Lytechinus pictus: one gene and its partner. The protein of the gene in region 1 purifies or fractionates together with the protein of each later gene. This does not show direct contact. Links are inferred from orthologs where the notes say so. Each region holds a gene or a part of one and is shown on either strand. Other genes may lie near its edges. The genes, in order: protein NEDD1-like and gamma-tubulin complex component 6-like.

The links.
Region 2: the proteins of protein NEDD1-like (region 1) and gamma-tubulin complex component 6-like purify together in Homo sapiens (affinity purification with mass spectrometry; 3 studies listed by BioGRID and IntAct, with this or other methods). This does not show direct contact. The link is inferred for Lytechinus pictus from reciprocal best matches to the Homo sapiens genes NEDD1 and TUBGCP6.

What each region holds. Positions count from the first base shown.
Region 1 is NC_087247.1:78,937,931-78,955,140, reverse strand, and holds the start of protein NEDD1-like, read left to right. Parts: upstream 1-8,179; 5' UTR 8,180-8,242; coding exon 8,243-8,375; intron 8,376-15,568; exon of another isoform or gene 15,569-15,584; coding exon 15,585-15,679; intron 15,680-16,311; coding exon 16,312-16,428; intron 16,429-16,977; coding exon 16,978-17,118; intron 17,119-17,210. UniProt on the Homo sapiens protein: Required for mitosis progression. Promotes the nucleation of microtubules from the spindle.
Region 2 is NC_087247.1:26,628,973-26,646,177, reverse strand, and holds the start of gamma-tubulin complex component 6-like, read right to left. Parts: upstream 6,172-17,205; 5' UTR 6,107-6,171; coding exon 5,767-6,106; intron 5,311-5,766; coding exon 5,174-5,310; intron 2,132-5,173; coding exon 2,037-2,131; intron 984-2,036; coding exon 893-983; intron 120-892; coding exon 63-119; intron 1-62. UniProt on the Homo sapiens protein: Component of the gamma-tubulin ring complex (gTuRC) which mediates microtubule nucleation.

The DNA of each region.
Region 1 (17,210 bases):
ATTAAAGCTCCTACCTGTTTCCGGTGAAGCATAATAATAGGAAGCTCCGTGATCCGGGGACTAGTCTTTTTCTCACCTGACACCACTAACGTACCTAAGGGGCAGGGGGGGGGGGGGCAGACTGCACCCCCTGACGAGTCACAACCCCAGCAAGGCACGTACCCCTGCCCCCCTGACGAGTCACAACTGATCCCTGACGAGCCACAAGTGGCCCCCTCTTTTGAACTTGAAGACCTTTTCTTTTTTGCTCGTCAAATTTTTTTCTAGTGCAAAATGTCCTTTATTTGCTGTTGAAAACTTTTTTTTTTTTTTTTTTTTTCTTGTCAATTTTTTTGACAGACGAATTTGCCCCCCCCCCCTTTGGAAAATCCTGGGTACGCCACTGCCTGACACTCAATATTTTGTTCACTATTTTTTTATTTTTTTTTACACAAGAATTCACTGACATGATGCTACAGGGCATCGAATCTTTAGGTACCCGTCCTGACTCAGTCCGTACTAGCAGAGAGAAGCTCTGGATGAGACGACTTCGCACCACCCAACCTCATGGCCTGAACATCCAAGAGGGGAACGACTGATTATTCTTTCCTATCCACTTTCAATTTATTTATACATATCATTTTTCCCCTCAGCTCTTTTGAATAGTTACATTATAGTTTCTTCCTCTACTTTCCTCCCATATCTCATACAAGCTCAGCTCCAATTTTTCCTTCCTTATTCAGGCGATATAATAATTATTATACAGTGCGTCCCAGAAAAAACGAAACCGAGATTAAGCGATGATTTATCATAACTTAATCACAAATACAATAGACAAATGACCTACCAAAATAAAGCCTAGAATCTCCTCTTTCATTTGACATTATTTAGATTATTCCTCAATCAGGCATGAGTGAGCAAAAATAATTTGAAGAAAGGATACCAAAAACTCATTTGGCGGGGGGTTATCTGAATTTCAAAAAGAAAATCACATGCCTAAAAAGTTCAATATCTGCTCTTTTATTTGATACCTTAATCACAAAAAATGGTCAAGAAGTAAAAAAGTTATGTTCCCTCGAAATAATGCTTGTATTTCCATAATTTCATGAAATAACCGTGTTTTCACCGGTTTCCCACAGAAGCTATCGCATGGTTAACAAAAGACTTAATGCATGGCTGATCGTCAACAAAACAGAGTGTCGAGTGAGTTTGAACACTAGCCTGTAAAACCTCTTTATTTCATGAAATTATTAAAATTCAAGCCTTATTTCAAATAACCAGAACTTTGTTATTTCTTGACCATTTTCTGTAATTGAGGTATCAAATTAAAGAGCAGATATTGAACTGTTTACAAATGTGGTTTTCTTTTTGAAACCCAGATACAGCCCGCCAAATGACTTTTTGGTATCCCCTCTTCAAATTGTTTTTGCTCACTTATGCGTGAAGGAGAAATAATCTAAGTAATTTCAGATGAAAGAAGAGATTCTAAGCTTTACAATGGTAGGTCATATGTCTATTGTATTTGTGATTAAGTTATGATAAATCATCGATAAATCTCGGTTTCGTTTTTTGTGGGACACACTGTATATATATTTTTTTTTCTCCACTCACCTCTTTTAGATTTACCACATTTGCTTATTTACATGTATACTATGGTTTCTTCATAATACACCCCCTCTCTTCTATATTTGCTTTTACCTTTTTAGGCAATTTGCTTCCTCTTTTTCACATATACAGGGTTTTTTTTTTTTTTCCTACTGTATAGTCCTATGTTTTTTTCCCGTCACACCTAGCGGATTACAATATCAGTTACACCATATGTGTATTTATATTTTTTCATATACATTTCTTTTTGGGATATATTTATATACATATCACTTATAGATACATATTTACACTTACATTCTTCTCTTAGTTTGTTTAATGCTTTATCATATATACTTATATGTCTTTTGCACATTATCAGTTGTTCCCCATTCTTTTCCTTTTTCCCCCCACTCTTATGCACCAGTTTATTATGCCTTTCTTTGTAACCTGTTTGACCCACCTCTCACTAATTCTCTAGTTATTCATCCCTCTATCACTGTTTTGTTCCAGATCCTGTTTTTTGTTGCCTGCCTCATTATCTTAATCCCTCTTGGCCTTACTTACACTAACTTCCCTTTGTGTCTGCCTACTCCTTTTCTTTCATCCCCTTCACTAACCTGATTGGTCTTCTCTACTCACTAATGCCCCTTTTGTCTCCTTGTTTCTAGTGTTGCTGTAGCTTGTTTGTGGTCTATATTATGGTTGTTCCACTTTATATGTTTGTCATTTTGCCTCCGACGAAGATTCTGCTAGGATCGAAAGCTTAGGCCCCTTTTTTACTTTCTAAGAATTATTGTTGTCACAGGCGGCGGAGGGGGGGTACACATTCAATACCCCTTAAATTTCAGGATGAGGGGAGAGTTCCCCGTAAAGGAGAATGAAACCTTTGGAACAAGATAGCTTGTGTGAAAACAGAAAAATCAAAGAAACAGGTCAACGAAAGTTTCAGAAAAATCGGACAAATAATGAGAAAGTTATGAGCATTTGAATATTGTGATCACTAATGCTATGGAGATCCTCAAATTGACAATGCGACAAAGATGTGTGATGTCACTTGTGAACAACTCTCCCCATTACTTTAGTATATATTTCACTTAAAGGAGAATGAAACCCTTGAAACCAGCTGAATCCATATCAAAGAGAAAAATAAAAGAAACATATTGAGATCACTAATGCCATGTAGACATGGTAGATCCTCCCATTGGCAATGCGACCAAGATCTGTGATGTCACACACGTACAACTCCCTCATTACTTTAGTACTTATTTCATTTATATTCTCACTTTTATAGAGTCTATCACAAGGTGAGGTGTTCTCTTTATGAGAGGACAAGTACAGAGTTTTCACAACATTATATCATTGATGAATCATTTGTCATATGATTAGAATGAGCAAAAAGAGATGTTTTGGGGTATATTTTCAGTGTCCAAAAGGGGAGAGTTGTTCATCTGTGACATCATAGATCTTGGTCGCATTGCCAATAGGAGGATCTCCATAGCATTAGTAATCTCGACATTCAAATGCTCATAACTCTTCTATTGCTAGTCCTATTATACTCAAACTTTTGTTGATCTTATTCTTTGATTTTTCTGCTTTCACAAAAGCTAACTTGCTCCAAGAGTTTCATTCTCCTTTAAGGACGTTCCACAGTTATGTTTGTGCGCATTATGATCTGCGCATATTTAACACTGCGCGCTGACGTCACAATGGATGAACAGGTGATTAATTAGCTGTGGGTATGAGCTGATTTTTCTCATCATCTGCACCCTAACTGCAGATCCGATGCGTTATTTTATGAAGCTAAAAAAATTGAATTATTCCATGGATCATTTAAAAAAATATTTCTACTATTTCAAAATACTTTACTCTGCAGTACTGAGTTTGAATAAATGGTAGAGTGGTTTTGATTTTTCTTCACATAGATACAAAGCAGTTGGCGCATTTTTGGTGTTTTAAAAAGCACATTTGCTCTAATAAAAATGCTGATAGTTTGAAAACAAGCACATGAACCCCTATTTTTTAATGTTTGTACCTCTTATGTATAGCTTCCTCTACAACTTTGCACATTTTGGTGAAAATGACATGGATTTTGAATAAAGTGCAGCATTTATTGTACTTTTGTAGTCTGTTATTGAAATTTCACATTTTTGAGATTGGGTTTTTATTATCTTTTACGCCATTTTTAAGAACTGACTGTGCTGTTAGACTTAAAGTTGCAAACAAATAGCACTATAAATAGACTCTTCATTCTAACGATACAATTATTAACTCTCTTGCGAAATTTGATGACTTTTTCATGTATTTTGACTGAGTAATAGAGGTTTAAACTCATTGTAGTATTCTTGCGAGGTCTAAAAATGCCAAATTATTTTGAATGCGCAATTCTTAAGAACATCAATTTGGGTGAACTTTGAAGCTCTATAGCAAAAAATCAAGCTCATGGATCTATGTTAATTTTTGCATATTTCGAATATTAAGGTTCTTAAGTATCTATGTGCAAAGTTCGGTGTAAATGACATGGATTTCACTTTAACTGTGGAACGTCCTTAAATTGCCTCTTTTATCACATCTATCAGTAGATCATGTGTTCTTTCTAGAGGAGGGCATGTAATACAGATTTTTAAAGGATACATCATGGATAAAGAGTTTGTATCACAATAAGTAAAAGCAAAAAGAGACATTTTGAGGGTATTTTATAGTCCGTCAAAGGGAAAGTTGTTCACATGTGACATCACACATTCTTGTCGCATTGCCAATTGGAGGATCTCCATAAGCATTAGTGACTGCAATATTCAAATGCTCATAACTTTCTTATTATTTGTCCGATTTTGCTCAAACTTTCTTTGTTCTTATTCTTTGATTTTTCTGTTTCGACACACACCTACTTGTTCCAAAGGTTTCATTCCCCTTTAAGTCTTTTAAGAAATAAAGAATGAAAGAAACAAAGAACAAAGACTGAGAAAAAAAGAAGAAATCAAAAATCAAAAGAATTCAATTACGCTCAGAAGAAAAAAGAAAGAAAGGGTATTAAGGGAAGAGGAAAACAGACAAATGATGCTCTGATATAGTACTAGAAATATTATAGATAAGCCCCCCAAAAATAGCCATTTGGAGTTTTTGGACTTTTTCATTCTTTAAACATGTTTATCTAGACGAAACAAAATTGCCAATCTGTCGAGGCTATCGAGACATGTTTACCAGAATGCATCACGAGTAGTGTTTCATCCATCCGGGTGGAAAAACTCTATGGCTTCGTAATATTTTTTTCTTTATCGATTTGTCACGATCAAACACCATTGAACGAACCAAGAGTAGTGATGGTCACCGGAGGTGGAAAAATCGGTGAGCTTTTAGTCATTTTTCATATTATTTTCAGCAATTAGATCATATAAATTTATGTCAAGTATCACACTTGATCTAGTTCGATAAGGTCATGATGTTTGGGGTCAGGGAAGGGGAGGAAAATAGTCTATGTTTTTTTTTGCCATGCTAGTGTATACACCCGAGAACGAGGTTATATTATAACCTCGTTCGTAGGATGAGTGGGACAACATAGCCACTCATTCAATGAACAAGGTTATGATATAACTTTGTTCTCTGTTGAGTGTTGTATCTCCATGTGAGGCAAAATAAGGGTGGCAATGTTTGGCTTATTTTCTCCTTTGGGACAAATGCTTGATTTTCTTACACTGACAGTTTCCATTACACCTATTCATCATACAACTTGGCTCTTCAGTAAATTTGATTCTTTAAATTATTTTTTTCTTAATTTAAAATAGAGATTGAAAAATGAAAATTTTCTTGCCATACATACTTTCCACCAATAGAGGGCGTACACAAAAATATGCCCAAAATTCAAGTTTTTGAGCGCTCTGGTGAATACGAAAATTATTCCCAAGTTACTTATGAAAAATAAATTGCTACTGTAAGGAAATTAGTAATTTTGGTCACAAAAGTTGATATTTTAATGATTTTTTAAAGTGTGTGCTCTGTACAGCATTGGCATACCATAGCATAGTCCTACCTGTAGATTCCCCACAGGCAGGATGGTTGCAGTGGACAAGTGAACATAGCATCATTTTAAGTTAGCAAAAAGTTAGAAGAGACTATTAGTAATTGGAACATAATGTCCATGACGAAAAAGTGTCCATGACGTTCTTATGATTAACCTGCCTAAGTTGTGAAAGATACTATTGAAATTTGGTTTTCATATTCGTGTAGAGTTAACTAACCGTTAACACTATACTGCTTTGCAATTAAAATGAACTCTAAATTCAGAGAGTTTTTTAGTTGAACTTTAATAGTGTGCAAAACGTGTGTTTTCTGTGTAATGTCCATGACACCCCGGGGGCCACTTCCATTCACGAGTGGATACCATGCGCGACTATGGGGTCTCGAAAAGCACCCTAAACAGGTATTTTCCATATACTGAAAATGTACCCCTTAACAATTACTGGCGTGTTAAACCCTACCCTTTGCCTTAACAAGTATTGGAAACAAAACGATACTCTTGGCAAGTATTCACTGAATTGAACCCCAAAACAAGTACAGCGATATTTCAATTGTTATGTCACAGACGTCGGTCGTCGGTTTTACCTTTACCTATTGGGTTTAGTCCAGCCCCACCTCCCTCACCTCGCGCAAATCGTACTCTAAACACGTAGTGTTGACTCTTCGGACAAAAAGTACATCCTTTATAAAACATTTTAGTCTTAATTTTCTATACCCTCGCAAATTTGACCCTAAAATTAAATAGCTTTCCTAGCGAAAAAGATACCCTTTTTTCATTATTTTAGTGTTTTTGACACCCTTATTACGTTACGTACGTAACGTGCCCTATCTTGAAAAAGACATCCTTTTTACGTGTGTTTTTTGGTCGCGCATGGTATCCACTCGTCAATGTAAGGCATGGCGCTCATTTGCATAATACCTGTCGTAATAATTAGCAATGGATTCCCATAAAAAATTAATGAGAGGTAAAAATTTGCTCCAGCTGCAAAAATCAATTAACAAACCCAAAATGCAGAGTTTAGAAACATATACCACTTAAAAGTTAAAGCAGAAAAATTGGTCCACATGTATAGTCCATGACGCAGGAATCACCCATGTGTTGAATTGGCATCTTAATTTAGAAAGTTTATGGATCTAGCTCATGAAACATCGACATACATGTAAGGGTAATCAAGTATGAATGATTGTTTTGCACATGTCTTAGGTCACATGATCATGGTCAAAGGTCATTTTGGGTCAATGGACATAATATTTTATTATCATATATGTGTTTTCTTCTCTGAATAATTATTCATTAGCTGTTTTCAAAGGCAGCACTGCTGCTATATTGATTTGCATAATGCCCTTTGTAGTGGCCTTGGTACCCTAAAAAATATGAGATATTTTAAGGCCAAACTGGCCTTTCCCTAAATATGACATAATTTAAAGCTTATGACTAATTACGACTGGAGTAGACTTTTTAAAATCAATTCAACTTTTTTAAGGAAACTTACTGAATGATATGAAGCCGCTTTTCCCACATATTTATCCTTCTGTGATTTTCTAGTGAATACCAGAAATATTCTAAGAGTTCGGGATAATATTCCATGGATCGCAGGTGAGTGGAATATTGGCCCTAACGAGTGGAATATTTCTGATTATTTCATGAAATAAAGCCATCCAATATGATTATTATCATCTATCCCAACCCCCCCCCCAAAAAAAAAAAGAGGGAGCAATTTGATTTAACAAGTCATATCACATTATGCCATTATCACTTCATACACACTGTAGGATCAATTTTGGTCGTTGACATGTAGTTTATTATGACGTCATCGAGCTTAGTTGTGCTCTATGTTGCGCATAGCATTGCTTTCATTGTTGTACGCGTTGTATATTTCGCTCATGCGCCCTAAACTGTTTAATAAGCTCTCATATTCAATAGCAAATTTTGTACAGGAGCCAATGGGATATTCGTCGGATTTCGGTCTTTTTTAGGGATACGCTCTGATACTGCACAAGCAATTGACGCAGACCAAAATACGCGTTTTTAATGCATCGCTAGAACACTATATAGATGATAATATGGATTATTCTGTATATTGCATATGGAAATATATTTTATATTCTATATTGTATTATTTGTAACACAGTAATAAAAGTAAAGCAAACAAAACAAAGCAAACAAATTTATGGTCAATGAACTATTACATTACCATATAAATGGTGTTTTTTATGAATTATTATTCATCTTGGTTGTTTTTATAGTCAGCATTGCTGCTATATGAATGTTGAATTGCGTAATGCAGGCGAGACTGCCAGAAGCGTTCCACTTGTATGTACCTACAGTGTATTTACCATTTGCGGGAGGCGCGATAGCTCAGTCGGTAGAGCGGGGATTCGTATTTCGGTGACCCGGGTTTGATTCCCACTTGGTGCGCTAGTGCCCTTTGGTATAGGCATTAATCCTCAGTACCAGGTCCTTCGGAGAGGACCTTAAGCCGTCGGTCCTCTGGTTGCTTGCTTACAAGCATTAATGCTTTCTTAGCAATCAGGTAAAAAATCACCACCAATTTCACCACCAAAAGAAATGGATGTTTTCTTTTCTTTTATATATCTTGTAGGAATATTTGCTGAGAATTAAGTTTATGTTCCAGATTATTGTAATCCTTTCTGATGATTGACAATGGAGGAGGGACCAGTGAGATTTGCTTCTGGTGGAGATGATGTAAAGATTTGGGATCTCTCAAGCTCTGCTCCTCAACAACAGTTCTCACCACATGCAGGTCCAATCTCAAGCCTTTGCTGGAGTCATAACAATATCCTTTATTCATCTTTAGCTCGACTGGCCTGAATTGATGAGCACTGCCACCCATGTTTTCCACTTTCTCTGTATTTAGTATCTCTTCAGAATGTAATTTTATTAAGTGGTAATATTTAAGATATCATTAAAATGCAATCTCATTGATGAAAAATTGAATGGTCATGTGTGTGACCCAAAGTTTCCCTTCACTGGCCTTTAAACAGCAGTTTTAATAGTATGCTGGATTGCAATCTTTTGTCTTCAATGGATGATGTACATGTATGTAAATTGGGTTTACAACTTCACAAGCGCACTACACAAATTCCACCCAGTCAAAATTAACAAAATTCTGACACAGTCTAGCTTCAATAATCCTTACTAATCTTATGTCAATAATAAAGAGATTGGTTTAATAACGAAGAGGCTGTAGCCCTAAAATCTATTGGTTCATCAACCCAAAGTCACAAAATGGCAAAAGAAAGACCAATGAAAATGAGATGAGATTAAACCAAATGGTCATTCTTTGCTTGACTGCTATGGTCCATTCATACAGTATGCTTCTTTGACCTCAATAGGTGTGTTTAAACTGTTGATTTTAACTTCCTGTAACTTCTTAGTTATTGAGGCAATCAATTAAATATGGCGATAGTCATACTGTGAACTTTAAAAAACTGGGAAGTTCTTTTAATCCCATCTCATTTTCATTGGTCTTTTAATAATATTAATAATAATATATAATTTTATAAAGCGCAGAAACTATTCCATAAAGTATTATTCTACTGCGCTATTTAGGACTCCTAAAAAGCTTGTTATTGATTAAATAGATGTGTTTTGAGCTTTGATTTAAAATTGTTTATGGATGGTGCTTTCCTAACTTCCAGGGGTAAGCTCTTCCAGAGCTTGGGGGCTACACAAGCAAATGCTTGATCACCTAGTGTTACTTTTGAAGGATAGAATCTGTAAAAGCAGAGGATCCGTTGAACTGCGCAAATTGCAACCATGATTACTGCTCAATAATTCTGTAATGTAGCTAGGAGCTTGACCAAGGAGTGCTTTGTATACAATTAGTAAGACTTTGAATGCTATTCTCTGCCATATTGGCAACCAATGTAGGTTTCTTATACCTTGGTCACATTTGCTCTACGGCGGCCATACGGCTAGTTGAAAACAGCCGTTTTAACATTTTTTTGTACCAACTACATATAGGTGGTCTGAATTAAAATTGATAAAACTGCTGTTTTCGACTCGCCGTAGAGCAAATGTGACCAAGGTATAAGTATTTTTTTTTATAATGTTTTTATTAAAAAAATCAAAACAAATCACAAACAATCACAAGCAATCAAAACATTTACAAGATATTGTATCATTAAAAAAAAGGGGGGGGGGGAATAAAAGAATAAAAGAAAAAGACCAAGGTATTAGTATTGGTGTGATGCATGTATATTTCGTAGAACCAAATATAAGCCTTGCACAGGTGTTTGCACCCTCTGCAATTTCAATAATTTTGCAATTTCTAGACTTTGGATTCCGGAACCAATTGATTTGAGGGGCTAAAGCATCTTTGTGATTAAACCAATCTCTTAATTATTGACATGTGCTTAGTAAAGATTATTGAAAGTAGCCTGTGTCAGAATTTTGTTCATTTTGACTGAGTGTAATTTGTGTAGTGCACTTGTGAAGTTTGATAAGTTTCTTTTGGAACCCAGTTTATTACTGATGAGTGGAAGATGAAGGTTAGAATGGTAACATAAGAAGAAGAAATAATGAGCATGATAAAGGAGGTCAAAAGAAGCATGACAGAGAACAGAAGACAAAGAGAGTCAAGGAGAGATCTGTCATTTGACGTCATTATATGCTGAATTGGAATATGGAAACGTGTTATTGCTTTCTGTGCTTGTAAATTCAGTGTACTTTTCTAATATTTGTGTAAACTAGCCTCACCAAAAACCAACTTAATTTTTTCCTTCTATTTTTATACGCCAGTCCTCTATGAGGCGCCGATTGTACCAATATTATATAGAACAATTATTTGTTATATAATCATTATTTATTAAATAATAACTATTATTTATATATAATTTACATTTTATTTGTAAATAATTACTATTATATAAAATAACATATATATAAATCAATGTGCCAGGCTCTTTTTAGCATGGCCGTACACAGAATTTCTTTCGGGGGGGGGGGGGGGGGAGCATGCGTGTAAACTCGTTCTCAAGTTGAAAGCGACACAGCGAAGCGACCAAGCTTGTCATTTGGGCACTTTTTTTAGTTTTAAAAGTGAAATATGAAGGCTTTCGTGCACACTTTTGGTGAATTTTGTGATAATTTTCAATAGAAAAATAAGTTTTCAAAAATTTAGGGGTCATCATGCCCCCGTATTGTCGTTGTGAGCGTTTTTGGGAGAACAAAAACAAAAAAACAAAAAATTCTAGAAAGTAGAAGGGCCTGATACACTTACACTCACTCTCTCAGCTCATATGCACTTGATCCACTTCCATTAAGGATCCGGATTTCGGGCTAAATTCCGCCCGACAGTTCCGGGGACCAACCAACGTAATATTTCGATGAAGAGCATTTTGTCGATTCACCGGTTGTTCCCACTCACACGTATTGCGAGGTACCCTATACTAAGGTCGCACCATGAACCGCATTTTTCAGTGGATTTCTAACAAGTGGGTCTCGCGTGCTGGGATCTCACTTTGGTGTCCACAACACGCAACTTCTATGGCTTAATTTTTTTGTGCGCGACAACATGTAATGAACCCTTGGGTTGTTCCTACGATCAGAGAGAAAAGGTGAAATACACGCGCGCCTACGGGGATTGTGAACTGTAGGAAAAATCGTATAAAATTACACTTTTTGATATTTCTGCGAAGACGAAGTTATATAGAAAATGAAGAATATTACAATCAGACCATATCCCTAGAAAATTGCTTCAAGAAATGCCATTATGAAGAGGAAACGGACAAAAATTTGTGAAGAAAAATTACGAAAAAGGAAATCGCATCATGAATATTCATATCATGGGCGGTCCCACATTTGCATGTTATAGCGAGTTTTCCATTATTTAATAAATAATGGTTATTTGTATATAAATAATTATTATTTGTATATAATGGCAAACTGTAAAAATTGTTTATAAATAATGATTATTTATAAATAATGGGATATTGAAACAAAATTATTATTTATAAATAATGAAGTAGATGTTTCATTATTTAACAAATAATCTTTATTTGTAAATAATGGAAAACTCGAACATTAAATAATGATTATTTATAAATAATGAAAATAATGGCGCACTCGAAAAAATTATTTATAAATAATGAAGTAGACGTTTTCATTATTTAACAAATAATCATTATTTATAAATAATGGGAAACTCAACAAATTATTTATAAATAAAGAAATGTGCACTGGCATTGTTAATGAATAATTATTATTTATAAATAATAGAAAACTTATTTATAAATAATGGAAAAACAAATTGCAATTATTTATAAATAATGAAGTATGTAGTGTCATTATTTATAAATAATGAAAAACGAAAATCATTATTTATAAATAATAAAAGACAAATAATCATTATTTATAAATAATGAAAAACAAATAATCATTATTTATAAATAATGAAAAACAAATAATCATTATTTATAAATAATGAAAAACAAATAATCATTATTTATAAATAATGAAAAACAAATAATCATTATTTATAAATAATGAAAAACAAATAATCATTATTTATAAATAATGAAAAACAAATAATCATTATTTATAAATAATGAAAAACAAATAATCATTATTTATAAATAATGGAATGTCGAACTAGTATTATTTACAAATAATGAAGTATTACTTGGATTTATATATAAATAATTAGAAATGTTATTTTATATAATAGTATTTATTTACAAATAAAATGTAAATTATATATAAATAATAGTTATTATTTAATAAATAATGATTATATAACAAATAATTGTTCTATATAATATTGGTACAATCGGCGCCTCATAGTCCTCCTATATGACATATTATGGTGTCACACTCGGTGTCCGTTCATCCGTTAACTTTTCCTTGTAAACGCGATAATTTCAGTTTGACTTAACCTAGGCTCATATAATTTGGTGTGTATGATACTAGCATGGATCCTAGGAAGTCTATTGATTTTGAGGTTAAAAGGTCAAAGGTCAAGGTCACTTTGACATATTAGGGCCGTCTGCACCATCCCGAGTTTTCAAATTAGCGCGCTATTTCTGATCCGGCAAATTATCCCGATCTGAAAAATCTCGAGATAGTTTGCAGTGGAGACGCAATTATCGCGCTAGTTCGTAGGATTAATCTCGAGATTGCAATCCCAAGTCAACTCGGGTTTATTTGCAAAATAGCGCGCTATTTTACGAATTATCCCGCTAATTCGTAGGTGCAGACGCACTCGAGATTGGACTCGGGGTAATTTATTCATGACGTCAGTCCATAATGCAATTCGCGTTCCACTTCCGCCTTGGTCAAAACATAAACACGTGCGAAAGTCAACTTTATACATGCGAATAGATATTATCGCGAATAGCGTTCATCAATTGCCTAATCAGCAACGATGGTGTCCCACCAGTGAATGGATTTTGGGAGAGACCAGACCGAAGGGGGAGGCGCTCATCGACGATGGTCATATTCAATAACAACACTGACAGAAGTGTCGTCTTATTCCTTCGCAAAATGTGAGCAAATAGCATTTCTTTCCTCCTTCTCTCCCTCTCTCTCTCTCTCTGTCGTTGCCTCCTACTCCGCCATCATATTTAACGAAGAATACATCACTTCTTCACTCGCTGAGCTGAGAGGATTGTTGTTTAACACCGGTCGAATTCGGCGAAAATGCTAGTGAAAGGAGTACATTGCTTGCATATCGCGGGAAGTTATTCAAAAGCGCGGGCTGTTGAAACTCCAAGATCCGAAAGTGCGCATGCTCGGAATATCGGGCTTGTTGCCTCGCCCGAGCAGGAATCGCTCTTCTTGCGATGGTGGAGACGGGGTTTCTTGAATCTCGAGATTAATCGCGAAGTGGGCCGATCGGGCTAAAATCTCGAGATTGAGCAAACTCGGGATGGTGCAGCACCGCCTATTTTCATCTTACCCTTCTGCAGTCCTTGGAAATGCCATAACTTCGGTTTAACTTAACTTAGGCTCATATTATTTGGTGTGTATGATACAAGCATTGATCCCAAGAAGCCTATTGATTTTGAGGTCAAAAGGTCAAGGTCACAGGGACATATTTTCATCTTACCCTTCTGCAGTCCTTGTAAATGCGATAACTTCATTTTAGGGCAAGTCCAAGAATTTGTGCGTGTTACGTATGGGACATTTCAGAGACTTTAATGACCTGAAAAATAGTGTTAAATGACTTTCATTAGATGTAATACCATCATGATGGTAGACATCTAGGAGAAGAATAATCATGCAAAAAATGGTGACATATTACCTTGTCCTTTTAGAGAGAAAAGATGTGCCGTTACGTATGGGACGCAGAAAAAAGACAATTTTTAAAACATTTTTTCCAAGTTGAGAATTCTCTGAAAGTATTTCATTTGACAACTTGTAACTTAGTGTGATAGAAGTCACAACACTAGTATATCTAAGGCAAGTTTCATGTCATAAGCTAAAACCCTCTAATTACATACTCTAATTAAACAAATTAATGACATGTTACGTATGGGACATTTTGTCCCCATAGAGAACGTACACAATTTTCCCCATAATTTCAACAATTAAAATATGGAAATAACAAGAGTTTTTTTCTTTTAAAATATTCTATTGAGACATATTTGATATGACTGAAAAAGAAATTTGCCATTTCAACAATTTTTTTCTTGTTTTTCATGATTTCAAGAATTTCTTATGTTTTTCTATTGTTTTTTATATTTTTCATATTTTTCAATTTTCACAATTTTTTTCACTTCGATTGTTTTTATTGATCAGTATTCATAACAAATCAGTCTCTAAAAACTAAAGAAAAGGTAAATAATCAATTTTTAGAGCACTCTTGAAATTTGTTTTTCTCCATTCACTTTGTACACAAATCTCCCCATTGACATTGTGTGTAAATGTCCCATACGTAACATGTTGTCCCATACGTAACAATTTTTTTAATTAACTTTTAAATTAAAAGTAAACTATATTTTTGAAACTTTTTGTGGTACAACATTTTCATACTTAATAAATTAGAACTTCCCAGAGATGCAATATTACAAGTATTGTATTATAAGAAATAACAAAAAAAAAATCCTTAAAATGTTACGTATGGGACATTCCATCTTTGGACAAGACCTTATTTGCATACTTAATTAGATGACACCACTTTTTTCCCCCAAAAGTAATAAGATGTTATGGGGTCCATGTCCCACCTATGACTAAATCTCACAAGTTTTTTTTATATTTTTTTTTATGAGTTTGTATAATTGTCCTATACGTAACGCCCATTTTACCATTTATGCAAATTAGGTGCCCCAAATTAGCATAAATATGCATATTATCAACTTTTTCTTAATAACATTTTAAAATTTATTTGGGCTTTCTTACCCCACCAAAAATAACTTCTTAAATTAAAGATGAAATTTTGCCTTCTCGGGTGACCTTTTCTTGGACTTGCCCTTTAACCTAACTTAGGCTCATATAATTTGGTGTGTATGATACTAGCATAGATCCCAGGAAGTCTATTAATTTTGAGATCAAAGGTCAAGGTCACAGTGACATGTTTTCGTCTTACACTTCTGCAGTCTTTTTAAACGCGATAACTTCATTTTAACCTAACTTAGGCTCATGCAATTTGGTGTTTATGATACTAGCTTGGATCCTAGGAAGCCTATTGATTTTGAGGTCAAAAGGTCAAGGTGACAGTGACATGTTTTCATCTTACCCTTCTGCAGTCTCTGTAAACGTGATAACTTCAGTTAAATTAACCTAGGCTCATTTAATTTGGTGTGGATGATACCAGTATGGATCCCAGGAAGCCTATTGATTTTTAGGTCAAAAGGTCAAGGTCACATTGACGTGTTTTCATCTCACCCTTCTGCAGTCCTTGTAAATGCAATATCTTCAGTTTAACTTAACCTAGGCTCATATATTTTGGTGTGTATGATACTATGATACTAGCATTATAGTTATCTGAGAAGTAACTATTTTATACTTGGTAATGTTCCTTGACAGTTTGTTATATCATCACATCAGCTTTTAGCCAGTGCATCGTCAGTTGGGGATAAGATTGTGCTCTCCTATGGGAAGAGTCTCTCAGCAAATGTTATTGAGCTTGCTGTTGGGGTAAGTGATATGAAACATCTTGATGATATTTATTAGTGTCTAGTAATAACACTGAAACATCAAGACCTAATGCAGCCAAACTCTTCATTTGAAAGTACTTTGACCAGCCAAAAAATTTACGTGATCCCCAAATTTAATCTGGCAAGGAGATATAAAAGGGGTGATGCAGAGTTGACCTAAATTTAATGTGAAAGGACAGAGAAGTTGTGTATGTCTTTAACAAAAGCGGGACAGATAATAAATTTTTTTGTGCCAGCCTTAATTAAATGACTTTTCTAGGCCAGTCCATTCTATTAATTATGGAGTTGAAGTCTTGATAAGTTGATAACTATTATAAATCACATACTATAGCAACAGATTTGGCCATGATCACATGTCATTTAAGAGACTGTATATTAAGGATTACAGACTATTATTTGCAGAAGAGTTTTTAAGTGATTAATGGATTTAACTGCTTATGCATTTCATATGCTAGTAAATACATTTTCAAATGTAAAGATTTGTCAAGTTATTTAGCTAAGTAAACAGAATTTGACCTCAAAATTTTCAAATGACTTGAAAAATCTCATTAATTCTGAATTGAAATAATTTATAGATAATATTTATAATCAAGTTTTATTTCTGATGTCCAGGATAAGCAGACATGTCTTTCTATAAATTCCACGTCACGGTACATGGTCTGTGGAGGCAAGAACAAGCTAATCAGCATATGGGATGTCAAAAACAAAAAGTTAAAGAGGACATATAAGGTATTTATGACAGATTATATAGCATACTGTTCTAATTGTTGGGATGCATTGACAGTATAAATATAGCTGTAGGAATATCATCAACTTTGTTATCATAATAAGGAGATACAATGAGCCAAAATGAATTTCATGACTTGGTATAATGCATGCAAATTTTTATTCATGGAGATGATGCAGTTTTGTTGTCTGAAATACGTTAGCAATTAAAAAAAAATCAAAACATGCAATATTGTGTAAATGCTAAACCTAATAAAGTTTCAATATTGGAACATGATCACAACATCTTGAAGCCTCGGAAGTAGCTTAGACTGCTCATCTTGCATCTAATCATTTGATATTCTATTGGTAGGGGTATTACTGGAGAATAACTATCATGATATATCAAATCATAAAAGATTAATTGGTCAGATTATTTTACATGATTAATTAATGTATAATCAGTGATTCTTATTTTTTAAATTGGTATTTCAATATTTCCATTCATACTACATTGCTTTAATTATGTTGTTTGTATAGAATGAATAAGATTGGCATTTATTAATTGAATAGGAGCATCGAGAAAGTGTGAGCTGTGTTATTTTCAACTGGAATGACTCTTACATAGCATCAGGATCAGCAAGTGGAGAGATTTTACTTCACAATGTAGTATCTGGTCAACCTGGATCTCCTATGCTTGTCTCAAATGGACAGGTAGATACAATCAAGTCATCAATAATTTAGTATACTTTATGATTATGTTTGTTGAAGAACTGCAGTAAGTGACTTGATATTAGTTCACTAAT
Region 2 (17,205 bases), about 52 Mb from region 1:
TTTGATTTGCGACTTCTCTCTCATTTCGGTATGGCCGATCACATATTCTCGGAATCACTGACCTTGACTGCAAAAAGTCTGTTGCCACGCAGGTCCTGGCCTGGCTCGGCCTCAAATATCTGGTTGAAAAAAAAACACATTGAATTTTCTTAAAATCAGTAATAAAGAGTGCAGTGCTGTTTAAATTGATCCAATGCCATGACATCAGATGCCCCGTTGATTAGTCAGACTATACAGAGTGTCCCAGAAAAAAAAGGAAACCAAAATTTATTGTTGATTTATCATAACTTAATTGCAAACAATACAGACAAATGACCTATCATAAAGCTTAGAATCTCCTCTTTCATCTGGATATTTTAAATGATTTTTCTGGTAGAAAAGTGATTAAAAATAATCTGAAGAAATACCAAAAATTAATTTGCCAGACGGAATATGAACTTCAAAAAGAAATCACATGCCTAAAAAGTTCCATACCTGCTCTTTAATAAGTAGGGATGCCAGTTGGAATTGATCAGAGGGCCTGAAAATCACCTATAATACAATATTTTGTACACAAAAATGATAAAACTATGGCCTGAAAATAAATGGCCAGAGCCTGAATTCAGGCTTTTGCCTGAAAACTGGCATCCCTGAATAAGATATGTCCATCAAAGAACATGATCAAGGAATAAAAGTTTTGTTTCTTTAAAATAATGCTTGAATTTGAATAATTTATTCAAAGAAGACATTTTGCAGGCTAGGAGTCAAACTTTTTCAACACACCATTTTCTTGACAATCAACCGCACTTTGTTAACCATGCAATAGCCATCATAATGGTGACCAGTCCATGAAAACGCATTTGTTTAAAGAAATTTTGGAAATGCAAGTCCTCTAATAGACTTGAAATGATACCTTGTTATCAAGTAGACTATCATTGTTGGACATCTCTGACATTCCACTGTCATTAGCAAACTGATCGATACTTGGACCTTCAAACAGTTCCCTAAAAGACATAAAAAAACAATAACAAAACCGAGTGTTAATAACTAACATCCACAAAAGGTATACCTGTAAATGTAAATTATATATTCAATAATTGTACTAGCTTAGTGCTCAACTTTATAGCATACCATCCCAATGTGAAGAAAAAAAACCCTAGAAAATAAAATGATTTCCTACCCTGGGGAAAAAATACATATTTGAGGCACAGCAAGAAAGAGAGCAAAACTATGGCAATTGGTAGAGTGCAAACAAAATACACTGGTACGATTTACTTTTAAAAAGACAAGGTGGTTCACAAACCAAGAGTCTCGCCTGATTTCGTGATCAATAAAGCATGAAAAAAATGACCTTTTGACGTAAAGATGGACTTTGATGTAAGCTTTGTAGGTATATATATGGCAATAAATGAACAATTAAAATTTATTTAAAAATAACAAAATGAAAACATGCTTTGATAATTTGACCTTTTGACCATTTAGACAAACTTTGACCTCATCATCTTCAGCACATAAAATGTGGTATTACCCAAGGATCAGTTGTACCAAGTATTAAAACAACTGATGCATAAATAAAGCAATGACAGCAAGTTAAACAAAAAAAATTAACATTTTTGCAACAGACCAACAGACTAAGGAAAGTCATTACTACATGTAGGTCTCTGCTGAACTTCGTTCAGGTGAGACAAAAAGGTGGTTTGAAATCCTGGTTTATACTGATTTCATGCATTGCTCATGCTTAATTAAATATAGGAGCCTGAAGAGGCGTCCAATTCACACATTAATAAATAAATTCCACGCCTGTCACTATGTTTTGTCACCTTTTAATGTTTACGTATTTCCACTCTGTATATCAGCTGTGGGTTGGTCTATATGGAGATGCACATCTTTGTTTTGTTTTGTTTTCTTTTAAATTGAATTTGAGGTTTAATTATTTATTCATTCATTAATTACAATTTTGTTTACAATCCCGGTAACTATTAATAGTTAAAATATTAAGGGCTTAGAAACATCTCTATTAAGCGTCTTACATGCGATTATTATAATTATAATAATACCTTGAATAACTAACAAATGGTCGATGCTCATCACATCTATGAATGTGTTTGCCATCACCATGAAACCAATCTCCTCCTGGTAGAGCAGCAATATCCTAAAAAAATATCAGACAAAGCAGCATGTCATATGATTTATTCTATTAATATTATAATTATTATTATTATTATTAAACGTCATCTCTACTGGCTAAATGAGGCATAAAAATTTAGTAAATGAAACGTGTTTGCTCCAAAGAGGATGCGGAAAAGGTAAATAGTCACTGTGAACTTTTAAGTTCTTTGGTCTAATCAAGGACAATGCTCAAGACAGACAGAAGAAAAAGGAGAGAGTATCATCATGATGCAAGAATCAGGTAACCATTTGTAACAGGATAAATGCTTGAGGAATCAAATAATTTGCGGTGAATTTCTGTGTTTTACAAAATTAATAAAATAGAATAGTATGTCTTTTTTATATCTCATATATGTTTAGAAGTTCAACCAGAATTTAAATGGTGAAGGAAGGCATTTTTATTCACCTTTATTTCACAGTTCATTTGTTTATTATTCATTAACATGAGCTATAAACATTCACAGAATTATCTTTGCATAGGCTTGTTAAAAAATACATTCAAGAATCTGTCACAAATTATCAGGGCCATTTCACACAAAAGATAAAATCAATTGTACAATCATCTATGGGCATTTTCACGGTAACTGACATTACACGGCACAATGTTTTCACACCTTTCATTGTGTGTATCTCTAAAACAACAAATGATGGGAGTTTGGTTTTGATAGAGTTAATAAAGTGAACCTTGCTGTATACTCTGATACTAAGTTTTCCTATGTAACCACATTTTTTTACGCCTCAGCAAGCAAAAATGTGTCGGTAACTGACATTACGCAAAAGGACATGCAATTTCAGGGTGTTCATTAAAATTGAAATATCTTATGTCCCTGAGTACATAGAGTAATAATTTGAATATGTAAATATACCTCCATTACTAGGTTAAGATGTGTCAAAATATTAAACAATTCGTTTTTGTCTTTTGGGGACTATGATAATTTTTCCACAACCATGCTGGTAACTGACATTACGGTAACTGACATTACACTTAATTTGCCATAGAGATAACACATGGAAGTCAAATGTGTGGAATCATTGCATTGTATCTTCTGTGCAGGGCTTCACATGAAAGTGAGCTTGATGTGGAAGTATACCCGAGTTTTTAGGAACATTTCAATGAAAAAACTTTTTCTTTTTCTTAATTCCTTTCTTTGATCTGAACATTTTTATCATTACTTGTCGGTAACTGACAATATACACATTAACATTTACCAGTGCTACATGATTTTCAAAGACATAATTTTCTTGGTACTTATATGTAAGGCTTTTTAAAATCATAAAAGTTTCATAATACTTCACATTTTTAATTATCCAAAGATAAGAAATGTATGTTTTACTTACTCGGGGGGGGGGGGGGGGGGGTGGGGTCATAGCAGCTACATGTTTTTCTATAGTAATTTAATATTGCATTGACTGTACACATGGATTTTTCTGATTATACACCCATAATATATTCATCAGTTTTATATTGACTTTTTAAACCTTTTCCTTCTCCAACCTCCCCCTCCCCTCAAAAAGGCAAAATGAATAAGGGTCTCCTCCCCTAGGCTACATGTACCCCTCCCCCGAATCTCATGCAGCCATGTAGTTTTATTGATTTCTATTCTGGTCAGTGCAAGCAATGCTTGTTCATATCTGTCGGATTTCAATTCTCTTCATAATTTGTTTAATCATTTTCTTTGCTAATTTCTTTTATAAACTGTCAACAAAAAATAAACTCCAGCTTCTAAACTGAAACTGAACTATTTGTAAATTGGAAAAAAAAAACAGTTTTAGTAGATCCATGCAACATTGATCAGAACTGTCAAATTTCACTTTTCATCTATACTTGTAAACCAAAAACAAAATTGTATCACACATCCACACTACTAACAGGTATAAAAAATCCAGGAATGTACTTTTAGCGAGGCAATGCTCAAAAGAATCCTAGAAACTAAAAAAGGGACCCTGGAAATCCCCTTCATCAAAATGTTAAGCTTAAAAAATGTTGCAGATTTAGGCAATAGATTGGAAAAAGTACCCCCTACCCCCCCCCCCCCCCCGAAAACCAAACAAAAAATTGTCTGATACAAACAATTAGGTACTTGGTAAGTACATGTACAAAACAATTTCATAGTAATTTTTTTTGCACAATGGGAATGCAACTTCCTTCATAATTTCATATAGTATTCCTTGTGAACTATACCTTTTAAAAGTAAATAGCAAGCTCCTTCTGGTGTGACTTTTAAAGTGAAAGACTTAAATAACAAGTATACAATATTTCTTCACCATAAAATTTACCACATATTTGCATTTCAATATTGGTAACCAACGTTTTATCATGGTAACTGACATTACATCTCGGTAACTGACATTACATTTTCCACTTGGTAACTGACATTACATATATTTAATGGTACCCTATGGCTTCATTGTTGATTGGTAATCTTTAATTTTGGTGTAGAAGGGAGGGGTGTTACCTAGAGAGGAAATCTACCAAGTTTCATATAATATATCCTCTTTTCCAGGAAATGAGAAAAAAAAGTTCATGTTTTCGGTAACTGACATTACATACCATATCACATACTTCATCAATGTTTTTTTATCAGATGAATGAATTACTGGTGTTTCTTTCTGAGGGATTTTAAAAAGTGTTATAATAGCAAGCTAAATCACAGGCGAAAACATCATGATCAAACCTGTTCTTTAAAAATCTGTCAAAACAAAATATGTATCAATATACTATTTTCAACACTAATTTGTATCCATACTTTGGCAGCCATTTTGAAATAAAAAATGGCTGCCAGAGTCGGAAAAAAATTTTGTCTCAGAAACTTCAGGTCTTGTTTTATTAAAAAACATAAAGCATTTGACATGAATATCAACTTGATTTTTTTGCCTCTGTGTCCATCTGTGGTGAAAATGCCCCTATAGCAAACCATGTATTAAAATTTACAATAAATTGTATCTCTTTATGTTCCCCTCCTTGAGGACTTATCAAAACAAGACTTGAGCTTTACATGTATGTATAAAGCAGGGCTTCACGTACCTCTTTGGAAGTCAAACCAACAGTAGGAAGATTTGGTTTCTGGTGACCAATTACAGCCTTGTGAGAGGACTGCTTGGTTCCTGATAGTGCCAGAAGAAATTTAATAACTCCCTCCAGGAATACACTGTCTTCTTCTGCTAATGAAAAAGAACACACAGCAACAAAATTTGTGAAAATAATTAAGCTTTAGGTGAAATATAACGTATGACATGGATCACATTCGCAAATGCTTTAGAATATCTCAGGATTCATGTGAAAATTGATATGATAGATTTTATTTAATATTGTCTATTCTTGAGTGATTAAAATGTGAAAAATCTATGGCAATTTGTATACAAAACAGTGTGCAGTAATTGTCAATATAATGGCAAGGAGAGCGCATATGATCAACCAGAAACCTTCCAACGGCTCATCTCATGAGTGGTGATTCTGCAGAGCTCTGAAATCCTGGTGGGACAGTCATACCAACAAAGCTGACAGATGGTATGTCACTGGAAATAATATGATATCTTTGGTCGGTCTGGAGTTGGTTCCCCAGGTGTGACTGAAGCATAACTTATGCTACAAGGATGCAAGAGTTGGATGTTGCTTACCGCTCAACTTTGAGAGGCGATCCAAAATCAACTCCATTTGCTGTGCTTCGTCGAATCTCCTCTCCACACGAAGCTTGAAAATGATGATGACAAGTTGCTCCTTGGGGGAGTAAATCCCAGCTGCATTGCTTCTGGCTGAACAGCTGTGTTGCAGGGGTCCAGGGAGACTTCCAAAGAGGGAATCGAACAGTCTGGTCTGCAATCTCTGGCGAAACCTGGCGATATCCTCGGCATCTTCTCCCAGGCGGATTGGACGAGAGGATCCCAACGTGTCACTAACAGCTCTCCGAACAAGATCCTTAAAGAGTTGCTGGGGGGATGTGGGGTCAAGGGTCACCATTTTCTTGCAGGGTATTTAAGTTTATTTACAAGTCAATCAAGCGAAGGACAAGAAGACCTGTATTTTTAAGTACAATGAAAAAAAATGTGATAGCTTATTAATTGTGTAGCAAGAAAGTTAAATTCATCAAGAACAATAACATAGTCTCAATGGTCACAAGACACAAGTTCTTCATTCTTTACAATTTCTTCCCGAAATGCCCTATCTACCATCCATGTCAATCTGCCCTTCAGAGCATTCTTGTCCCCTTTTGAATCCCATGGTTCTTAAATAGCATATGGCTATTTGCGGTAAGTCTATAATTAGTAACCATAACGTTGATACATGTATACTTAAAGGAGAATGAAACCCTTGAAACCAGCTGAATCCATATTAAAGAGAAAAATCAAAGAAACATATTGTTGAGGAAGATTGAATGAATAATAAGAAAGTTATGAGCATTTGAATATTGAGATCACTAATGTAATGTAGATCCTCCGATTGGCAATGCGGCCACGATCTGTGATGTCACACACGTACAACTCCCTCTTTACTTTAGTACTTATTTCACTTATATTCTCACTTTTATAGAGTCTATCACAAGGTGAGGTGTTCTCTTTATGAGAGGACAAGTACAGAGGTTTCACAACATTATATCATTGATGAATCGTTTGTCATATAATTAGAATGAGCAAAAAGAGATGTTTTGGGGTATATTTTCAGTGTCCAAAAGGGGAGAGTTGTTCATCTGTGACATCATAGATCTTGGTCGCATTGCCAATGGGAGGATCTCCATAGCATTAGTGATCTCGACATTCAAATGCTCATAACTCTTCTATTGCTAGTCCTATTTTACTCAAACTTTTGTTGATCTTATTCTTTGATTTTTCTGCTTTCACAAAAGCTAACTTGCTCCGAGAGTTTCATTCTCCTTTAAATTACAAATTGAATGCTATTATTCCCGACATTATGCAAAGTAACACGATTAAAAGGCATGAGAGGGCTATATTTATATATTGACTGGTCTTTAGGGAGACTAGGGAGGACATATATCCCTAGTCATATTGCCAAAGGCAATGAGCAGGAATTATATGTGGTAACTCCCAATAGTAATGCCAGTCAATATCATTATAATTATTATTAATTATTACTTGTTTCCCAGCATATAGCACTTTATGTATATCGTCTATACAATTAAAGCAAAGTTAATGCATGCTGCAGTCAATAAAATGTTGAGTACTTGTGGAGACTAGCAAGTAATGCATGTAATTGTTAGCGCAAATGTCAATTTATGCACGCTTGAATTTGACCATAATACATCCAAAATAATACAAGTATGAAAGTACGAACTTTTATCTTGTCTCAAACATGGCTCATTCAGGTAATAATATAGCTAATATGCCCAGTAATCCTAAAATCAGCAAGAATCCTAAATAAAAAATAGAGTGAATCCTGAATAAAAAATAGAGTGAAGCACAGGTACAGAATGGCTAAAGAGCGGAAGTATAGAACCATATACACTCAAATGTTGACATCAATAGCCCCGCTCTAGTGGTAAAAGCGTCAGGTCAAAGCTCTATGCTGCACTGATGTACAACTTGCATGGGTTTGAATCCTGCTCAAGATCCTTCTCTAGTTAGCTTTGCTTTTAGAATAATTTTTTTTTTCAGTAAATGCATTGATAGGCCAACCAATGAATAGCATATTTCTTTTTAAATCAATACTGACTTTCAACAATGACAAACAAGAAACTTAGCTTCATGGTTTTATTTAGTCAAATATGGAATTACATATTTTTTTATTAATACATGTACCAAGCATTTCCCTGCTCTTCAAGACCACTCTCCACTCTCAAGGCCACTTTCACACAGTTTAAAAATATATATATCGATCACATTCACTAAATAAATCTCACTATACATAATAACCTGTCTTCAATCAAAGACATTTTAAGTGCGATTTATTTCGTCAGAATTAATGACACTGAATAAATATAACCTGCTCGCCAAAATGGGAACCAGTAAGTCTATGGAAAATTTTCCATAGAGTTGTACACACTCGTTCCCATATTTTTGATCGCCATGGAATTTTGAGATCGCGATACCAGCAAAACCCTTGTCCTTGACCTAGACCTCTACTTTATTATAATTCCGTCAAGCAAATTTGACTTAGGGATCTTGCCTTTGGTCTGGTATTCATGATTTTGATTAATTTTGTGTGAACTGTGAGAAGTTTTTGATTAAAATCAACTTCATGATAATTTTTTTAATGTGCGCAAATTATGGTCACCCAATCATACAACTGAGATGCAATGCACCCATGGGTGCCCCAGGCCAAAGCCAGGCCAGGACCAGGCACTGTTGTGTCCCCATGATGGTAAATTACCAATTCGTCTACTGCCAACTCGTCCAGGGTGACCAGACGTCCAGTATTTCCTGGGGATCGTCCCATAGTTTGCTCCTTTGTCCCGGCTCCCGAAAAAACCCTTCCCGGAATGCCTATTTGTCCCGATATTTCAGAATTTTGAACAAAATATAATTAAAACATTTGAAAGTGACGAATTTTTCATCAAATAACCAACAGATGACGAAGCAGAGATAACAATAAAATCGATAACTATAAACTTTTGCAAGTTCTGCTGTGATTTTCTTGCTAACCCAATACATTATTAACGAACTGGCCTCCCTACTCTGTGTGGCAGGCTACTAGCTAGGCATGTAGGATCGGAGCAGATTCTCAATGATGCAAACAATCTCACATGATAAACAGTTTTTCCACCAAAATAATCATATAAATATATTATGGATTCTCAGATTACTGATTTGGTGATGAACCGGAGGAACAAGTTATAGAGTTTTCATAACTAGATCTAGTTGTTTCATCTTTCCTTTTGAGTCAAGTTTAACAAAATAACAAAGTTATTGAATAATTTTGAATTTTAAAATTTATCAATATTTTGTGAAAACAGTCGTCATAAATATTCATTAGGTGGGCTGATGATGTCACATCCTCACTTGTTCTTTTGTATTCTATTATATGAAATTAGGTTTATTCAAATTTTTTCCTCCAAGAACTAGAAAAATTGGATTGACAACTGATTTAGTGCATTAGATATTTATTGCTGCAACTTATTTCATTATAAGGGAGAGATATTTATTATTATTCACACAAGTATGAAATAATGAAAAAATTTTGATTTTGTGTAATAACATAAGAAAACGGAAAGTGGAGATGTGACATCATCAGCCCACCTAATGAATATTCATGACGACTGTTATCACAAAATATTGCTAAACTTTAAACTTCAATAACTTCATTATTTGGTATTCGATTTTGATGAAATTTTCGGTATTTTGCTCAGTGAATTCTACTCTATGAGTCACTCACACTAGTACGAGGTTAGTATATATATATATATATATACTAACCTCGTACACCGGACCGTGTTTGACCCTGGATTTCGAAGTAGTCGGCAAACATCGCTTCATTGCTGAAGTAATATTTGCCGAAACTCCTTCTCGCTACTCAGGGCTCTTTCCGGTAAGTAGCAATACATTAAAAAATTAAAAATGTAATTTGAATATAATAATCGGTCAAAAAGAGCAAATTTCGCTTACCTCGGCCTGGAAAGTGACTTCGCTTGTCTCTTCTACGGAAATACAAGGAAGCCCGTTGGTGGCGCTAATAAATTTCACAACCTTGATTCAGCTCCTCGGTAATTTTATAACTGTGTCTAAATTCTTTGAATGCGCAATTCTCATGATTAATTTACTAATTATGGGCACCAATAAATGAAATACCTTCAAAAACATAATTCAAGATTATTATTGGCGATGATAACACTTTTTTGCAATTAATTTAAAACGATGACTAATAAATAAAAATTGAAAAAAATATACGTGCCTGGAACGGAACCAGCAGTACAGGCTTTAACGAACGTCAATAATACGGTATACCAATGTCTATACAATAAAAAGATTGGACACTTGACGGACTTTGCGTAATGCCTTGCGTCGATTTGCGTGTAAAATAGTGTAGGTGCCTAGTCTTTCCCTTGTCGTGTGTCTTTGATATGATATACATCGCGCGCCCTCTTTAGGCGAAAATTGATATCCGCACCGACATATTTTTATCTCCGTGAAATCTTCACTAAAGATCAAGAAAATATATATATTTTTTAAAAGAAACTTCAAGGAAAAGTCACGGAATGATCTAAATGATTCGGTAAGTGTCAAAGGCAAGCAGAATGTGAAATACCGGATTATGCGCGATGTTTTATGTGGGCGAAAGCCCAGTAGTTTATGTCTGTATTGCGCATGCGTGAGGAGTGGACGTCTCTCATTTTGTGCTCTCATTTTTCTAGAACAAAATTTCGGAAAATACATTTAAATCTGCCCAAAAGAAGGAATTTATCCTTGCATATGTCTTTTGGCACATTCATATGCTTCAAGATTGATTTTTGGTAAAATCTGGCAGCCTGAAATAGCTAAAACTGAGGTGGAAAATTTGGCGTGCCCGTGGCTTTCAGGAAGTCAATCCCCAGGGTAGCCATCGTACCGATCATACACGTGTCGCAGCCGCCTCATCCGCCGCGATCGAGGGACGCGTACTTGCACCGATTGGCCAAGACCAAGTCACCGAGCTGAGAAAGAAAAAAAAAATAAAATAAAATAAAATCTTGAAGGATGGATAAGATTCAGAAAACTCTTTCAAAAATATCACCATTCGGAAAAATTAAAATCCGAATAACCAAGATCACGAGGATGGAAATGAAAGTGAATTTGAAGATGCAAGTCAAGATATTATAGCGAATGAGGCCACGGGCCATGACCCGGATGTTGATATCACCAACAACGTACGATTAGATGATGGAAGGAATAACGCAACAAAACAGAGATCGAAATCAACTACAACTGGATCTAAGAAGCAGACTAAGGTGAAAAGAGCAATATCATACTCTGAATCGAGTAAGCAAGGCAGAGAGACTGGCAAGACTAAGGGAAAAGAAGTAGGACATGCTGGTGCCGGAAAGAAAGAAACAAGTAAGAAGCAGAAACACAGGCAAGTCACCCATGGCCATGTCCATGACATGTACAGATGTGAGTACTGTGATGATGAGGGTATGTCGCACATGATTGAATGCGAGGCATGCGAAAGGTGGTCGTGCTTATCTTGTCACAATTTGTCACTGGACATGTATCACTTCTTTACTAATGACAAAAATAGAGCACACTGGTTCTGCAGAGATTGCGAAGAGATTGCAATTGAAGCAGCCAAAGCCAGAATAAGATATAAAATCACTTCCAAGAGTATGTGCAAGGATGTCGAAAGTGAAGTGAATGAAGCTGTCGGGAAAATTCTGAAAAAGGCTCAAGATTCAATGAAAGAGATGTTGGACGATGGCGTGAAAAAAATCAAACAGTCATATGCTGATGCATGTAAACAGTCTGTCGGCAATGTAAATGCACAGGGATCAAAGAACAAAATCACTATACTTCAAAGACCTAATGTTCATACTAAGAAAGACTCCAATATCAACAATGGCAATGCTAATGTCAATGAAAAAGATGGAGAAGAAATAGTCCCAAGATATGAGATAGGGAATGTTGTGAGTATGACTACAATGGAGGAATTAGTAGACAGAGAAAGACGAAAGAACAATGTCGTTTTCTACAATGTACCTGAGTCTCGCCATGACCAAATACATGACAGAGTAGCAGAGGATATGAAAGCAGTTATGGACATTACAAGGAGTGGTCTCAATGTGCACAACACCAAGATAACCAAAGCAATTCGACTGGGAAGGAAGCAGCGTGACGATGCCACGCAAGAATCAACATCAAAACCCAGAGCTCTACTGGTCCATTTAGAGAGCCCACGCATGAGAAACGAAATCCTCTCAGCCGCCAAGAAACTTAAACAAACTACCAAGTGGAAAGATACGTATATATCACCGGACATGACAAGGCAACAACGTGAGGAAAATTGGAAACTAAGACAAGAACTGAAACAGAGAAGAGAGAATGGGGAACAAGATTTGGTGATCCGTCAAGGCCAGATTGTCACTAGTTGGAAGAGAAACCAGTCTAGAAAAGTAAGTGGAAAAAGCGACAAAATAGAATTCCAGGAAACAGACATTGGATCAAATCTCCAGGAAAAAGTAACCCCACAACCAACTCACCAACAGACACACCATAGAAACGATGATAAAGATAGCGATATGGAAAGTGAAATTGAAGTAGATGGAGTCTTTGGAGCAGTGGGTGGAAACCGTCATAGCCAATGACTCGGAGACATGAATGGAGGACCAGAAGCAGAGATTGTGGACAAAAATATGGAGTACTTATCACAAAACAAATTAACGGTCCTCTATACTAATGCAGACTCTCTATTGAACAAAATTGAAGAGCTACAAATTTCTATTGGAAAGCATAACCCAGATATAGTAATGATATGTGAAGTAGTTCCTAAATCAGGCATCTTAAAAGTGACAAATGAATTACTTAAACTAGAAGGATATGAGATCTTCTCAAACATGGATAAGGAAAACTGCCATAGGGGTATTGTAATCTACATTTGCACAAAACTCAAAGCACACGAAGTTTCATTCAACATCGAATTTACCGAAAGTGTTTGGTGCTCTGTTAAGCTGAAAGGGAGAGAAGGACTTATGGTTGGATGTATTTATAGAAGCCCCTCTAGCTCAATAGAAAATAATAAGTTACTTTGTGAACTCATAGAGTTGGCCAGTGAAAACAGAGAGAAGCATCTTTTGATAATGGGAGATTTCAACTTTCCGGACATCAACTGGAAAAGATCGCATGTAAATTCGACCTCCAATAATACATCGTACATGTTTCTCACTGCCACCCAGGAAGCATTCCTGCACCAGCATATATATGAGCCTACACGATATAGACATGGCCAAAATCCAAACGTTCTGGATCTTGCATTTACATGTACAGCTGATGACCTAATATCTTCAATTGATTATTTACCTCCACTTGGACTTAGTGATCATGTGTGTATACTGACCAAGCTTGACATACTTCAGGAAAAAGACAAATTGCCAGAAAGAGAAAGTCGCCCAAACCTCCAGAAAGGGGACTACAATTCCATGAATGAGACTCTTGAAAAAATTGACTGGGATAAGGATTTTACTGGCAAAACTTGTGAACAAGCTTGGACCTCATTGTTTCACAATATAAAAGAAGGTGTGGAAAATTATGTACCAGTACGCAAGTATATTTATGTATCAAAAGCTATACTTAAGTTGTCTAAGAAGAAGACGCGTTACTGGAAACGATATTCAGATGTGAACAGGACCAGAGACGAGAGAGAAATCGACTACAGACAGTATAAACGAGTGAGGAACCAATTAAGGAAAGAAACAAGAGCAGCAAGTAACAACTTTGAACTCGACCTAGTTGAAAACATTGGCCATAATCCCAAAGCTTTTTGGCGTTATGCTAACAGCAAGGTAAAGAGTAAAGGTCGTATTACAAGCCTCATGAAGGGTAATGGACAACTTACTGAATCAGATAGTGAAATAGCAAGTGTTCTTAACGATCATTTCTCCGAAGTATTCACTAGAGAGGACATGGACAGTATACCGGATATACAAGTTCCTTTGCGAAGTGACCTACCCACGCTAAGTGAAGTAAAAGTACAAGAGATAGATGTCAGCAAAAAGTTAAAAAACTTGAATACAAATAAGTCACCAGGACCAGATGGGTTGCATCCTAAAGTATTATATGAGCTAGCTGAGTCCATTGCTAAACCATTGACATTAATCTGTAACAAGTCTATGCAGGAAGGTAAACTCCCATCGGACTGGAAGCAGGGAACTGTAGTACCAATCCATAAGAAAGGGAGTAGAACCCAAGCCTCAAATTATAGGCCTGTTAGCCTTACGTCCGTTGCAGGAAAGTTGATGGAGAAAATTCTTCGAGATGTTATAGTTACACACTTGCTAAGAAATGACCTACTCACACAGAGTCAGCATGGATTTACCCCAGGAAGGACGTGTGCCACTCAACTTCTTTATGTTCTTGAGGAATGGTCAAGGTTATTAGATGAAGGTGAAACAATCGATGTCCTATACCTTGATTTTCGGAAGGCATTCGATAGCGTTCCCCATCAAAGGCTCTTACTCAAGCTAAAGGCACATGGTATAGAAGGTAAACTCCTGAACTGGATTAGAGCATTTTTGATCGGAAGAGTACAAAGAGTCTTTGTTAATGGAGAATCATCCGACTGGTCACCTGTTACAAGCGGAATTCCGCAAGGAAGTGTCCTCGGACCAGTCCTCTTCTTGATCTACATAAATGACCTCCCATCTGACGTAATAAATAGCAGAGTGGTATTATTTGCTGATGACACGAAACTCTATAGTACTGGAAATACACCTTCACAGACGAGTGGTCTTCAAGACGACCTGAATTACCTTATTGAGTGGTCTGAGAGATGGCAATTACCCTTCAATGATGACAAATGTAAAGTGTTGCACATCGGCAGGAGAAACCTTGGAAAAAGCTACCATATGCATGGGAAAGACTTGCAAGTAGTGGAAGCCGAAAAGGATCTCGGTGTAATAGTGGACTGTCAGCTGAAATTTCACCAGCATGTGTCATCAGCAGTTAGCAAAGGATACCAACTCCTCGCCATAATGAAAAGGACATTCACTCAACTCACAAGGACAACTCTGCCTCTGCTCTTCAAAACCCTAATAAGACCCCACCTTGAATATGGGAGTATCCTCTGGCATAGCAGATTCAAAGAAGATGCAAGGAGGATCGAAAGGGTCCAAAGAAGGGCAACCAAGCTGGTCAGAGAGCTGAAGAACGTCCCATATCAAGACAGACTCAAAGAATTGAACTTGTACTCCCTGCTGTACAGGAGGAGAAGAGGAGACATGATCTTCGTGCACCAGCTAATGCATGGACTTATCAATCTCCCTCTAGATCACTTCTTCACAAAATCAGTAGGCAGATCAACAAGGGGACACTGCCTGAAGCTTCAGAAAGAGCACTGTAGACTGGACATTCGCAGCAAGTCTTTTAGCAGAAGAGTGATAGATGATTGGAATAGCCTCCCGGAAAGTATAGTCGTCTTGCCAACAACAGAATCATTTAAAAGGCATGTAGATAAACATTGGTGGGATCATCGCTTTGATCTACCATGACTCCCACTCCTCAGCATGCGTACAGTAATAAACTCACCAGACTAAAACCATAGATGGAGTGACCGGGAATTACAGGCCACCGCCTTCTTCCTGTACTAGATGATGATGATGATGATGATGATGATGAATGATATTCATATATGGGTGTCTATGAGTATGAGTGAAGATATCCAGACCCACTCACACAACATGCGAGGTTAGTAGACCATCCCGACGAAATGGTGATTGGACGAAATGGCAATTAGACCATGTGGATAGTGGACGAACTGATGGTAGACCGAATGTTAGATCTAGAAGATTAGTTGGCAATTAAAATAATTGGCATTAGATCTAACAGTAAGCTTGAAATAAACCCTCATAACATTGACACCTCTCTCTCTTAACTGATCCCTCCACTTCTTTGGAGATTCCTGGAGTCCAGATAGAATGTAAACGTATGTAATCACAGATCCGTTTTAGGTTATTTCAAGAGACGTAGAGCGGGAGGTATGGATTTTGTGGAGAAAAAAGAGGGATAGTAGGAGTAAGCTATTGTGAACTTCGGATGACAAGCAAGGATGGTAAGATAATAAGGTGGCACAAGTAAGTTGGTGGGGGTCATCACTGTCATAGAGGTTGTGACAGTATGTGTGGTCTACTAGGCACTCCTTAGCTTTGTTGACAAAATCCACACGTAGATGGTTGAGATTTGGACAGGCTGCAACAAAATGCTCCACTGTTTCATCCGCAGAGTTGCATAAGGGGCAGATACGAGTAGAGGATTTCTTCAAAGTGTATAGACGACTTTGAGTTAGGTACGTACAGGACAGTAGTTGGGCTCTAACTATAATTGCGTGACGAATTGTAGGTGATATAGAGTACTTAGGATATAGGAGGTTAGCAGAAGGTGGGACCTTGTCTATCCAGAGCCTGAGTGAAGATTTACAACAGATTCCTTGTAGAGTGAGTTGTCTTACAGCATGAAGCACTTTGTATTTAGACATACGTTTCCAGACGGGATATGATGGTGGATTGGAGATGAGACTATGCAGATCTGGCAGGTCATACTTCTTCAATGTGGTTTGTAATGCCCGTATGGTGGGTGTTCCTGCATTAAGAGCAGCAAGAAGTGTCCTGAACTCAAAGCGACTATGGTCAAGAGCAATGAGTTGCCCGAGTAGCAGTAGCCTGTCGAGGTCAATCTGTGAGGAAACTGGCATGAGATTTGTCAGCAGGAATACAATCTCATCTGCGGCAGACTTTGGCACCCCAAGAATTTGTTTAAAGAGGTGGGACTGGGTCTTGTCGAGCTTCTGCAGCATAGATTTCGTGAATTTGAATACAGTAGAGCCTTGCAACATCCTAGGGATACAAAAGATTTTCCATAGCTGGGATATAATAGTGGGGATGAGTCCACCTGTATAGGCACCTGTGCCAGAGAGAGCGTAGAAGGTACGGAGTCCCATTCCAATGATGTTATCTGTAGGATCAAATCTTGTTCCTGATTTGATGACACCAAGATGTGGGTGGTTATCTCTCTCCTCTATGATGGAACCACCGACTTCCCAGGATGATCTTGTAGGTTGTTTGGTCTTGTTTGTTACAACTACTGCACATTTGGAAGGATTGAATCTGTAGTGCCATTGTTGAGCATAGTTAAAGGCAACCTCTAACATTTGCTGCAGCTCTGTTGATGAGGAGGTGATGAGTGCAATGTCATCCGCAAGGACTACCAGACCGGAGAAACGACCATCTATTGTGCAGCCAAGATTCTTTTCACGGAGTTTCTTTATCAGACCATCAACATATGTAGTGTATAATGTTGGAGATAAGACCCCACCTTGCCTCACCCCTTGGGTGACGGGTATCAGCTTACTGGCTTGACCCTTCCAAAAGACCTTGCTTTCTAATCTGTTGTACATAGATCCTAACATGTCCTGAATGCATGGGCTTAGCT